2 linked regions of the Caenorhabditis elegans genome follow. The protein of the gene in region 1 interacts with the protein of each later gene in a pairwise test. Each region holds a gene or a part of one and is shown in the gene's direction. Other genes may lie near its edges.

The links. The genes of interacting proteins can lie anywhere in the genome.
Region 2: the proteins of rnf-113 (region 1) and gst-41 interact in a two-hybrid assay, tested with the Caenorhabditis elegans proteins (one large-scale study listed by BioGRID).

What each region holds. Positions count from the first base shown.
Region 1 is NC_003281.10:10,754,263-10,760,746, reverse strand, and holds rnf-113 (putative E3 ubiquitin-protein ligase rnf113), read left to right. Parts: upstream 1-3,106; 5' UTR 3,107-3,109; coding exon 3,110-3,247; intron 3,248-3,310; coding exon 3,311-4,043; intron 4,044-4,765; coding exon 4,766-5,049; 3' UTR 5,050-5,123; downstream 5,124-6,484. Other genes in the region: tasp-1 (TASPase homolog), read right to left, coding at 273-403, 456-604, 656-759, 813-895, 947-980; K01G5.10 (Haloacid dehalogenase-like hydrolase domain-containing protein 3), read left to right, coding at 2,229-2,516, 2,563-2,661, 2,712-3,071; Chromobox protein homolog hpl-2, read left to right, coding at 5,237-5,278, 5,553-5,726, 5,994-6,232. UniProt on the Caenorhabditis elegans protein: May function as E3 ubiquitin-protein ligase that catalyzes the transfer of ubiquitin onto target proteins.
Region 2 is NC_003283.11:7,396,617-7,402,347, reverse strand, and holds gst-41 (glutathione transferase), read left to right. Parts: upstream 1-3,045; 5' UTR 3,046-3,059; coding exon 3,060-3,096; intron 3,097-3,193; coding exon 3,194-3,388; intron 3,389-3,431; coding exon 3,432-3,832; 3' UTR 3,833-3,952; downstream 3,953-5,731. Other genes in the region: srx-60 (G-protein coupled receptors family 1 profile domain-containing protein), read right to left, coding at 156-282, 330-511, 557-729, 952-1,172, 1,216-1,376, 1,422-1,460; cnc-9 (CaeNaCin (Caenorhabditis bacteriocin)), read left to right, coding at 2,163-2,217, 2,263-2,444.

The sequences.
Region 1 (6,484 bases):
GGAGTTTAATAGAAGAAATGCTAATTTTCGACTAAAAAAACGGTTTTTGTGGACAATTAGGCAAAATCTGAGTCAAAAGGGCGGAATTTGCATTGAAATTCGGTTTTTTCTAGCAAAATATTAATGAAAATGCCATTTTTTCGAAAAAGGCTTTTTTTTTCGGGAACTCTGAAATTTCTTGGGATCTGATAGAAGAAATGCGCTAATTTTTCATATTTTGAACACATTTCCCTGAGAAAAGGAACCAATCTCGAATTTTCCTTCATCCTTACATTGGTATTAATTGAAATAGCTCCTACAGTGTCATGTGTATCATATGGATGAAGCATTCGATGTAAATACTTCTCAAAGCTCTCTTTCGCCGCTTTTGATACGAGTTCTTCAGGTGTACACGTTGGAAAATCTGAAAATCCAATGATTTTTCGAGATTTAAAATTCAAAATTCAGAAATTTACCATTTTTAACAGCATATTTCTCTGCTCCACGACCAACAAGAATAAGGGGATGAAGAAGACGTCGCTGCTTCCACCAATTGCTATGTGCAAGGTGACGTGCCACTCGGGACGGATGGAAAACGTTGGAAATCGCGCCGACCGCGCCGAAACTGAATTTGAAAATAATCGGTAAGGGAGAAATGTATGGTTTTTAGGGAAACCTTAAATTTTTGGATGACATATATGATGCTTCACATTCAACTTCTTGATCGATAGTCAAATGTGAGCCGAATCCACAGTTGAACTTTTCTATTCTTTCAAGATCCTGCAAAAAAAATTAAATATATTTCGTGAGAAAACCAAAAAAGAATTCCTCACCGTCAACGCATTCTCAACAGTGCCTGTACCACACGCAAAACGGCAGTCCTCGGCAAGACTTGCGTCGAATTTAGCACACGCACCTGCAAGATTTAAATTTTGCCGCAAAAAATCGATAATTAGTGTGCGCAAACCTCCGTGCACCGCGATTATCTCGCAGTTGCTCATTTTTTGAGGTTTTCTTCGAGTAGAACTCCACTGAATCGATGTTTCAGAAGGATTTTATTATCTCCGGCCACCAGGACGGGAATGTCGTATTTGAATTTCTGAAAATTAGGAATTTAAACTACCTATTTTTAAATTTTCTGTATTTATATTTTTATTAAATGAGAAAATAGAATACAAAACAAAAAAAACGTAGACGTAGAAGAAAGTCTCACTTCAATTAGCTCTGGCGATTCTTGGGCGAGATTTTTCTCGACGACAACAATCCCGGGATGCTTTTTAAGATAGTTTTTGAGTTGTCTGTGAAAATGTACGCACAGCGAGCAGTTTTGCGATGAGAAAAGCACGAGTTCGACGGGTTTGGACGAGGAGAAGGAGCGCTGCAAAGCACGAGGAAATGTGATCATTTGAATTGGCGTCAAAATCACATGGTAAAACTAGGCCGCGCATGACCTGAGCACGAGACACTCTCTCGGCCATTTTCAAGTTGGCGCGCTGTGTCACACACTCCGGTGGAGCGTGTTGTGGCGGAGTGTATGAGAAGTGTGCGAGTGGTTTGCGTTCGGCGCACTCCGCCCACTTTTTCCGTGCCGCACGCGGGTCTTTCGAATTTTATCGATTTTTTAAAAGTGTTTTTTTAGTTTATTTTTGTTTTTGACGAATTTATGAGGGATTTCTTGCGATTTTGGATTTTAAATAAAGAAATAGGTTTAAATATAAAAAATATCTTTAGATAAAGTATTCCTAATCGATGAAACAAGTGGAGTCAAGGAAATCTCTAGTTTTTCCTTCTAAATACTCGAAGCAAGCCAAAATGAACGAATTTTGTGATAAGATTTCTTTTAAATTGTTCAAAAATTGTTATTCTGTTCAAAATCAGGTGTTGGAAATTAATTGATTTTGGCTGAGAAATCGTTATTTGGAGAGTTTGAACAGTAAATTGAACTCTTTTTTTTCTACAGAAATATCTCTGAAATTCGGATGCAAAAACCTTTTTTCTTTTAAGAAGCCTAGTGTTATCCCTATGCATCTCGAAAAACTTCTCAAAAATTCCTGATGTTTGAATTCGAAAAATCGATTTCCGATACTTCCAATATTATTTTCTACGAAATCGTCATTTAAATAGTTAAAATGCAGTATTTCCGTCGTTAAAATATTGTTTTCGGCCAATTTGGAGGAAAATTTTCAATCAACACACTAACCTTTTCTTTGGAAATCTAAAAAAAACTCTAGATTTCCATATTTAGCTCAATGCTCTCCAACCTGCTCCGTACAACTTCTCGTAACCTTTCCACCCCTCCAGTCGTGAAAGTTCTCTCCCTAGATGCTCGTGATACACTAATCACGATGAAAGAGTCTCCACCGATAGTTTATTCCCGTTTCGCGAGGCAATATGATTTGGAAGTCGACTCCGATCAAATCATGGGAAGCTTTCTTAAAAATTATAAACGAATGAGCATCGCATCGCCCTGCTTTGGGTTCAATGGAATTGGAAACAAAAGTTGGTGGATTGAAGTAGTTTCTTCTACGCTTTTGGATGTAGGTGTAATCTGAATTAGGCAAGTCCCCTACTTGATAGTTTCAGTGTGCTCCGGATTCTGAAAAAGGACGGGTTGAAGTGATCGCTGGAGCTTTGTACAATCACTATGCAACTCCTGAGCCGTGGAAACTAGTTGAAAGCGATGTAAATTTTGTGAATTGTTGAAAAAAAAATACTGCAATTTTTCATTTTAGACGCGCCAAACTCTGCAAAAACTTCGCCTGAAAGGAATCATCCTGGTTGTCATCTCCAATTTCGATAGTCGCTTGAAATCTCTACTTTCTCAATTCAATTTACTCGATCTTTTCTCCATGACAGTTCTCTCCGGCGAAATTGGGTACGAAAAGCCCGATGAGAAGATCTTCCAGCTAGTTGTCAACCATTTCGATCTAATTTCTCCCTCGGAAATCTTGCACATTGGAGACAATTTGAAAAATGATTTCCATGGCGCCAAAAATTTCGGCTGTAGAGCTCTATTGTTTGATTCATCTTCCTCTCATAATGTTGAACCGTTTTATTGTATTTCTCGTTTGTCAGATTTGAAGCTTTATTAATTAATTGAATTTAATAAATAGTTTTAATTTTTCAGATAATGGATCTCTTCCGAAAACCGAAAAAGCGCAATGCACCCGTCGTTCGTAAAAAGGAAAGCTCAAGTGATGAGGATCAAGATTCAGAAGTGAAGGATGTGATTCAAAAGCGACGTCGTACGAATCCGATGGTCCAGTCGGTGAGATCTTGGTACTTTAGTGCTCCAAAATTTTGGAAAATCCCAATAAACTTTGAAATTCAGACCAAACAACTAGACGCCTCAACACGACGTGCTGATAATTCATCGGATGATTCTGACGACTCTGACGACAATCAGGATATCGCAGTAGCAACTCACTCGTTCGCCGCTTCAGGAGATGCCGGTCCATCTGGACCACGTGATCAAGGTGCCACTGCAACACTCGAAGTGGACACAGACTATTCACACGATGCCCAGGCTCAATTCGAACGAGTCCAACAGCAACTGAAGGAAGGCGTCGAGAAAGACGGAAAAATTCTGTACAAGGGAAGTGCACTGTATGGAGCCAAAGAGGCGAAGGATACGGCCAAGGGAAACGCTGCAAGTGGTTATAATCGAGTTGGGCCCGTTCGGGCGCCACAATTTCTACGACAAACAGTCCGTTGGGATTTTGCACCGGATATTTGCAAGGATTACAAGGAGACTGGATTCTGTACGTTTGGAGATTCGTGTAAATTTGTGCACGACCGATCGGACTATAAACACGGATGGGAGATTGATGAGGAGTACGAAGCAGGAAAATATGGTGCTGAAGACGATGCGAATTACGAGATTCATGAAGGCGACGATACGTTTCCGGAGGATTGTTTTATTTGCGGAAATCCATTTGTTGATCCGATCGTGACAAAATGCAAGCACTACTTTTGCACCGGTTGTGCGTTGAAATCGTTCCAAAAGTCGTCAAAATGCCCAATATGTCAGCAGAATACTGAGAATATTATGAATACCGCAAAAGGTTTGAAATAGAACGATTAATTCGTGATTTTCGCAAGTTTTGGAAGGTTTTTCGGCGCAGTTTGATACTTACATGTTACGGAGGATACTGCACGTGGACAAGCGTGAATCTTTTTTCACATTTTTTGGACAATAATAAGACATTATAACTAGAAAGAGAGGAGGAGCCTAATTTCGCAACTCTGCGGCACGATTTTTCGACAATTTTCCACTGTTTTTTTTTTTGGTTTTTTTTCTGGTTTTTTTTTCCAAAAAACTTCGATTCTTCCTGTTTTATTTTTTTTTACGAGAAAAAAATCAAATTTAATTCGCATAACATTTCGATTATAGTTCATATTTTTACAACCAATTTAGCTTGAAATATCCTCCCAATCTAATGTGAATTAAAAGGAATAAAATCGAAACTTTTATGGAAAAACCCCAAAAAAGAAAAAGGAAAACCGTGCCGCATGGTTGCAAAATTGGTTGCAAAATTACGTTCCGCCTCTTTTTCTGCTTTTTGGAAAACTCATTTCTTTGGTAATTTGGAATGTTGGAAGAGAATCAGCGAAAATAGTTCAAAAAAGTAAATTTCAGCCAATAACTCACAGTTGTCCGGGTGAAGTACAAAATCCTTCGTAAATTTACATGCAACAAACCGCGCTTTTAATCCAAAACTTGCGAAATTCACAAGATAGTAGCTCGAAAAATGTGGCAAAAAAAAATTAATTTTTAAATTTTCAGAGCTCCTAACCTACCTGAAACGGAAGAAGCAACAACAGAAGCAAGAAGCCGAGAAACAGGAAGAAGAAAAAGATAGTGACGATGATGAAAAACCACACGAATGCGACGATCACCATCATCATGATCACGAAGATGAGCCCGAGGAGCCTGAAAACGACTCAAATGTTCCAGAAGCCGAGGAGAAGAGCGATGAGGAACAGGAGATTATGATGGAGGATGTGGAAGGGCTTGAAGGTGGAGAAAATGACTCTGAGAGTGATGATGATGATGCTGAAAAAGATTGATAATTTTTATTTTTTTTTTAAATATTTCTGTACGGTGATTGTCTGTGAGTAAACTAAATATGATTTTTTTTCTTGTTCGAGCCTTTTTTTAATTTCAAGATATTGTTCGAATCTTTATTCCATATTTTTTCTATGTTTTTTCAGATTTCTCCCATTTTAGCTCAAATTTATTTCAGCAATTTCAAAAATGTCGAGCAAATCAACAAAGCGAGCAAAAATCGAAGATCCGGTATGGAACGGCGAAAAAACCAAAAAATCTATTTTTACAACAAAAAAAACTAAAAAATACAATTTTGCAACGAAAAAAAACCAAAAAACAGTCCATTTTGCAAAAAAACAATAAATCAATTTTTGCACTAAAAAAAATATTTTAAAAAAACAATTTTGCAACAAAAAATCTATTTTTGCATAAAAAATCCAATTTTGCTAGAAACAAAGCGACAGTATAAGTTCCCCGACAAAGAAAAAAAAAGTCACATTTTATTCAAAAATCTGATTTCCAGAAGGACAACGTGTTCATGGTGGAAAAAGTGCTGGACAAGCGAACTGGAAAAGCCGGCAGAGACGAATTTCTCATACAGTGGCAAGGATTCCCCGAGTCTGACTCTAGCTGGGAGCCGAGAGAGAATCTCCAGTGCGTCGAGATGTTGGACGAGTTTGAGAGGGAATTTTCAAAGGTTTTGAAGAATTTTTTAAAGTTTATTTTACTTGAAATGGTCCTAAAAAGCGAATTTCATAGTGAAAATTGTTTGAAAAATCTTCGATTTTGCCCACTTTTCCGTGCTGCAACTGTTTAAATTAGATTTTTGTTCGATTATTCTCCTATTTTCACACGGAAAAGCTGGTAAACTTGAAGATTTTAACTAAAATTAGGTTTTTTAGAGTTAAAATTACAAAGTCATAAAATCCGATTTTTCTGCAACAAACTTATTTTATTTTTACAGAGAGAGAAACCAATTCGCAAACGACACAGCCAGAAGCCCGAACCTTCCGAAGATCAAGCGGATCCAGAAGAGGATAAAGATGAAAAGAAGGAAACGAATCAAAATGACAAATTCTCACTGGAAGGCAAGCAGTTAAAATGCATTGTCGGGCTCACCAAGGGACCTGGGGAACTTCATTTTCTGTGCAAATTCAGTGATGACACGGCACGGCTTCTTCCAGCGAAGGAGGTGAACAGTCGGTGAGTTTGGGAATTGCTCCCGGTTGATTAAAAGTGTATTACGGAAACACTCCACCCAAAAACTTTAAAAGTATCCGAAAAAAAATATTACGGGAACACAAAATTCTGAGAATGCGTATTGCGCAACATATTTGACGCGCAAAATATCTCGTAGCGAAAACTACAGTCATTCTTTAAATGACTACTGTAGTGTCGATTTACGGGCTCGAGTTTTGAAATGGATTTTTGTTCAAATAGTGGCATTTTTGCTTA
Region 2 (5,731 bases), on another chromosome or scaffold:
AAAATAACTTTGGGTATTGGAAACTGAGCATAGAAATAATAACTATAGAAGTATTAAACTATAATAACTGTTAGCATAAAACAAACGGGATTAGTGACACATTTATTGTTAAAGTTTGAAATAATGTTTTTGAAATTTAGTTATGACGCATTAAATTATATGTTGCTCATTTCACGTGTTCTTTCAGGTACTGTCGTGTTTTGCGGACCAGTGATTTGGTAAACATTCTTGCGACCCATCAAAAAATTTCGTACTTCCGGGTTGCACATGACGACGATCATTCTTTAAATTGATAATTGCCCGGTTTTTTAATTGTTTTTTGAGCTCACCCATCGATTGCATGAATTGAAACCCACATGAAAGAAGTTCCAAGAAAAATGATCCACTGATTGTGAAAATACTGTGGGATGAAGAAATATGTTACTAACTCTAGAAGAAATACGGTTCCTTGAAAAACCGATTGTCTCAGGAATCGCAAATCTCGAAGCGTGAATTTGTTGTCGCCACGTACCTGAAAAATAATTATATTGTTAAAAATTTTCGAGGAAAGTAAAACCTTTTTGGTTACATGATGAACGCGAAGAACAGTTGAAATATCCACACAAACAACTATTGCGATAATTACAGAATTTTTCACAAAATCATCATACCAAGCAACAAAGCCACAGAATTTAGTGTTAGTAAATTGAATAAAATGAATCTCTTCCAAGTAAGCCACGTGGCAGAGAACTATTGAACATTTATTATTATTATTTTCTTTTTTTAGCATGAATTTTAGCTAAATTTTCATATTTGTCTTGTATGCTTCTCAAAGCTAAAGTATTCAGAAATGGCTTTATACTCTGAATTTCATCAGTAAGCTCGAAAAAAAAGATAACTTTATTATAGCAAGTATATCTTTTTCAAGACGGGTTATCCTATTCCGTATGAACCTCGACATTTATAACTTACTCTGGTAAAAAACAATTGCTAGAGCCACTTCAAAAATCCACAACAGGATAATGATGCTTGATGTATTCTTTCTGCTGAACCATTTTTCGTATTTGAGTGGTACCCAAACAGCGCAAAATCTATTGATAGATATCAAAAAATGTGTTAAAACTGAAAGTTCATAACAGAAAAGAAGGAAACATCCCACGATAAACGAGTAACTCTTCATTATTGGTTGGTCCCTTAATTTAATGTTTCCTCAATTTTTGTGATAATTTGACTCACAAAATGACCATTGGGCAAAAGTATAGCAAGAAAATAACCGAATGAAGGGCATCTACAATTGCTTGATTTGCAGTGAGGTATCCAAATGAGTTATTCAATGCCGGAAGTTTATAAATGGCAATTAAAATAGAGAAATTTAAAACTGATCCAATGAATGTTATCTTTAATTCAGTTTTTTATTCAGACAGTCACAAAGATCTACTTACTGGTATTAATGCAAAAGTAGTTTGATTTTCAGCATTCATACTAAATGATACGATATTACAATTTGTATAGTAATATTTTCAGGCTGACATAAAATATAAGGGAGTTGTGATATTTTTCATAGTAATTAGTCTTGAGGGATTTCAAAATTTATGAAACTGACATAACAAACAATAATTTTTTCTGAACAATCGGGCATTGGATATTTCATTTTTGTATAGCCCTCTGTGAATTTACAGTAGAAGGAATTATTGTAGGTGCCACTCTGAAAGTTTATAAAATCGCAGCAGAGCATTGTCAACGTAGATTTTGGTGATATTCTTCAAATTTCTTGTCTATTGGTTCTATTTCCTATGTATGTAGTATGAAATAGTTAGAAATGTTGAAATCTTAATATTTGTACTGCGAAAGTGAACGCATCAATAAAAAAACGAATTCGAAAAATGTTCCCGATAGTGAACATTTTACAGTACATCCCAGTTAGCACCAACTAATATCTAGTTGATCATGATCTCTCTTATTAGCCCGCGACAGTAACAATTTTTCCATATTAATCCGAAGTTCAGATGTATGTCATCATCAACTACATAGGTGGACACCAACAAGTCACAAACAAGTCAAATGATTAACAATCGTCTCCTTCTGGCAGCTTAACCAGATAACGTCCTGTTCGTCAAACTGACCAATAAACCATGTCATGTATATAAGCCGCTAGTTTAGTAATCTAACAGATTTCGTTCATCATGATCCGCTTCTTTGTATTACTAGCTTTACTCTCTGTGTCTTTTGCGCAATACGGTAATTTGATTTTTTTCTTATTTCAGAAAAATGTAAAAAATTTAGGCGGTTACTATGGAGGTGGATACCCTTATGGTGGATATGGTGGATATCCATATGGGGGCTATCAGAACTATGGGCATCCAGGAATGTATGGAGGTTACAGTCCATATGGAGGGTATGGAGGCTACGGTGGCTATGGTCCAATGTATCGACCTGGACTCATTGGAATGCTTTTGGGGAAATAATTGTTTAAATTCACATGTAATTTCTCAATAATGTTTAATTTAATTTTCAACATGCAATATTAGATCTCGTAGCATCAGAATTGGTTTTTTTTTCGAGTTTGAACTAAATAAATTTTTTTGAAAAATCAGTTACAGATACGGTGTTTTTGTCACCTTTTTATTTTGATACAAAGAGTTTAGCATAACATCTATTTTCATTTCACAAAAAGTTTTTAACCGGATAGAACTTAAAAGAATTTACATGAAAATTTAACTTTTTTTTGTGATAATTCGGTCGTTTTTTCAGATTTACACAACTTTCAATGTATTTGGACTTTTAACGGCAATAAACTTCAGTTAATCATTAAAAAGTTCGCACAAACAACTTATTTACTCAAACAGAACAATCTACAAGAACTTGGATCTCCAAAAACTCATTAGTTTTTTCATCGCACCACTGCACTAATTGTTTACATCAAATTTGAAATTTACTTTGAGTGTTTATTTTGACAGGCCAAACTTGTTTCCGTTCTTTTAATCTGCGAAAGTTAACTAAATTCGCATGGCCAAACAATTACAATCAGAAAAACCGTATAAAAGCCCATGCAATGATCGAGAAAACATTAAGAGAAGGCAATGACAGTGCCAAAACTATACTATTTTTCAATCCGCGGTAAGTTTTTATTTTATTATTTTAGTCGTGAGTTGTCTTGAAGCCAATCAGACAGCCGTTGTTTTTTTGCTTGGAATATTTATGATAATTATTTCAGGATATGGGGAGTACATCCGTCTTCTACTAATTGATAATGGTATCAAATTTGAAGATATTCGCTTCCCATGGCAAAGCAACGAATGGGCAGAGCTTAAGAAAACAATGAAGTTCGGGCAAGTTCCATGTTATAAAGTTGATGGGCAAGAAATTGTGCAAGCTGGAGCAATTATGCGACACCTGGGAAGAGTTCATAGTTGGTTTATTTGTTGTGTGCAACTGTTAAAATAGATTTGCAGAGCTGAACGGATCCAATGAACAAGAAGCGACTTTTCTAGATATGCTTTTTGATGCGATTCGTGATGTTCGTTTGAAATATATTCGTTACGTTTATTTTGACGAGGGAAGTCGTGAAGACATGGTCAACAAGACCCTTCCAGAATCTTTGGAAAGATTGGAATGCCAATTTGAAATTCACCCCGGAGACTTTATTATTGGCAACAAACTTAGTTACACCGACTATATACTCTTTGAAGAATTAGATATCTATCACGTTTTGGATGGAAAGATTTTGGACAAGTTTCCAGCTTTGAAGGCATTTTGGGAGCGGATGTGGCAAAGACCAAACTTGAAGCCTTATCTCGAGAAACGAACCAAAGACAATGTTTGGATCAGTGCCGTTGAAAAGGGAATGAATTGATAATGTTTTTTTTTTCCTTTCTGTGATTAAATTCCCAAAAAATGGGTCTCGATACTTTTTGACAAGCTTTCTGAGCTCAAATTTTCTGATAGTGAGAAAATAAAGAATAATTTTGAACAATTTCATACGCCATTGGAGTTTTCTTATGAAATTTTCAACTACATAATCCAAAAATAGTCCTAACAATTACCATTGAAATTTTTCAAACAGTTGATTGAAAAAATCTACAAACCGCCGATAGTCGAATTTTTGAGATTCAAAAACTTTATTTAAGATTTAAAAAGAATCAATTTCGAGCCTTGCACAAACTAATTGGAATCAGCAAACATTCCACTCTGTTGCGCGTTATTTGTAATTCTATTTTTTCTTAAATTCACAGAAACCAGATAAGACTCTAAAGAATATCCCAAAATCTTTAGTGACGTATTTAAGGGCCCTGCATGATCAAACGTGCTGCGAGTATATGTTACAAGAAATGGCGGTATCAATCCAAATATTAGATTTGTGCATGTGTCAATTAAGGCAAGACGATTTACCTGAAAATACTTATTTTTTTATGCAATTTCATAAGCTTAAGAACATACTCTTTTAATCTCCCAGCTGATTGTCACGTTTTTATACCTGTTCCAGACGTATAATTTTAAAGACAATAACAACGACAAAACGATGATTATAGTGTACACAATCTGCAATAATTTCGTTTTTTCTTGTCATGAAAAACTTTAATAACTTTTTCGTAAGCCAGCCAATAAAGCAAGTAACAATCAGACATAACACATGCTGCATTTTTGCATCCCGGAGAAATTTCTATGGCATTTTGACAATAGATAAATAGCACTGATCCATCTATGAAAGGATATATGAAGACGATGATAATGATGAACTTGCTTCAAATATAATTTCGATAATTGAAAAACCAAACAGGGAAATACGCGGCCTGAAAGAATAATTTATACTTTTCTAATGCAGATTTTCGTTTCAAAAAATACAAAAAAAAAACTGAAAACAAGTGACATGGGGAACAGTAGTAATAGGTTCATTTTGGAATCGCGGCTTCATTTTGGATTGGCGAGATCTACTGAGACCTAAAAGAGAGAGCGCCACTCCAAAATGAACCTGTTACTACTGGGAACTCCGGAGTAAATATCCTTTACAACTAACCCATGTTCTATCAGTTGCAATTAAAAGAGCCAGAATGGATCTAGTAGATCCTGTTATATATCTTGCCCAGAATATGAAAAACATTGAAATTTCTACAATATGGGAGAGCTCTTGGAATTTGGCCATAGTAATCAAAATTGAACCAAGAAAAAATATAACTGAAAGAGTTTCGATGATTTTTTAATAAAAGCTTTGCACATACTTATAGTACTGAATACTATGTCCAACAAAAATCGAAAATAGAAAAGGGTCAAATCATGTGATTTCTTGAGTTTTTTAAACCTGAAAATAGATTTTTAAATGATGGAAAAATGTTGATATGGGCAGTGGCTACCAAAATATGTCTAGCAGTAATTTTGTGCAAAAGAATATTGTTATAAATGCGCGACCAATTGCTGTAACTGTAATGAATACACCAAAAAAATACATGTCTTCTTTATATCCCACTTTGTTTTCAAGTTAAGTCAGCACGTTTTCCAAAAAAATTAACACACTGGTTCATAATCAAAAGTCAAAACTTTTATTAAAATTTGGAGCAAACGTTTATTCACTGAAAGGTTATGCATTTTAGTTGTGGTTGTTCAGTACATAAAAACTTTTAAAAAAATCGACACGAAAAAAACAAAAAAAAATGAAGAAAAAGGAAATGGACAACGTTTATTTTGAAACTGTATTGTTTTATGGGGTTATTCAAGTAGTGTCGTGAAATTAAAAAGTGTATTTCAGTACACTTTTTGC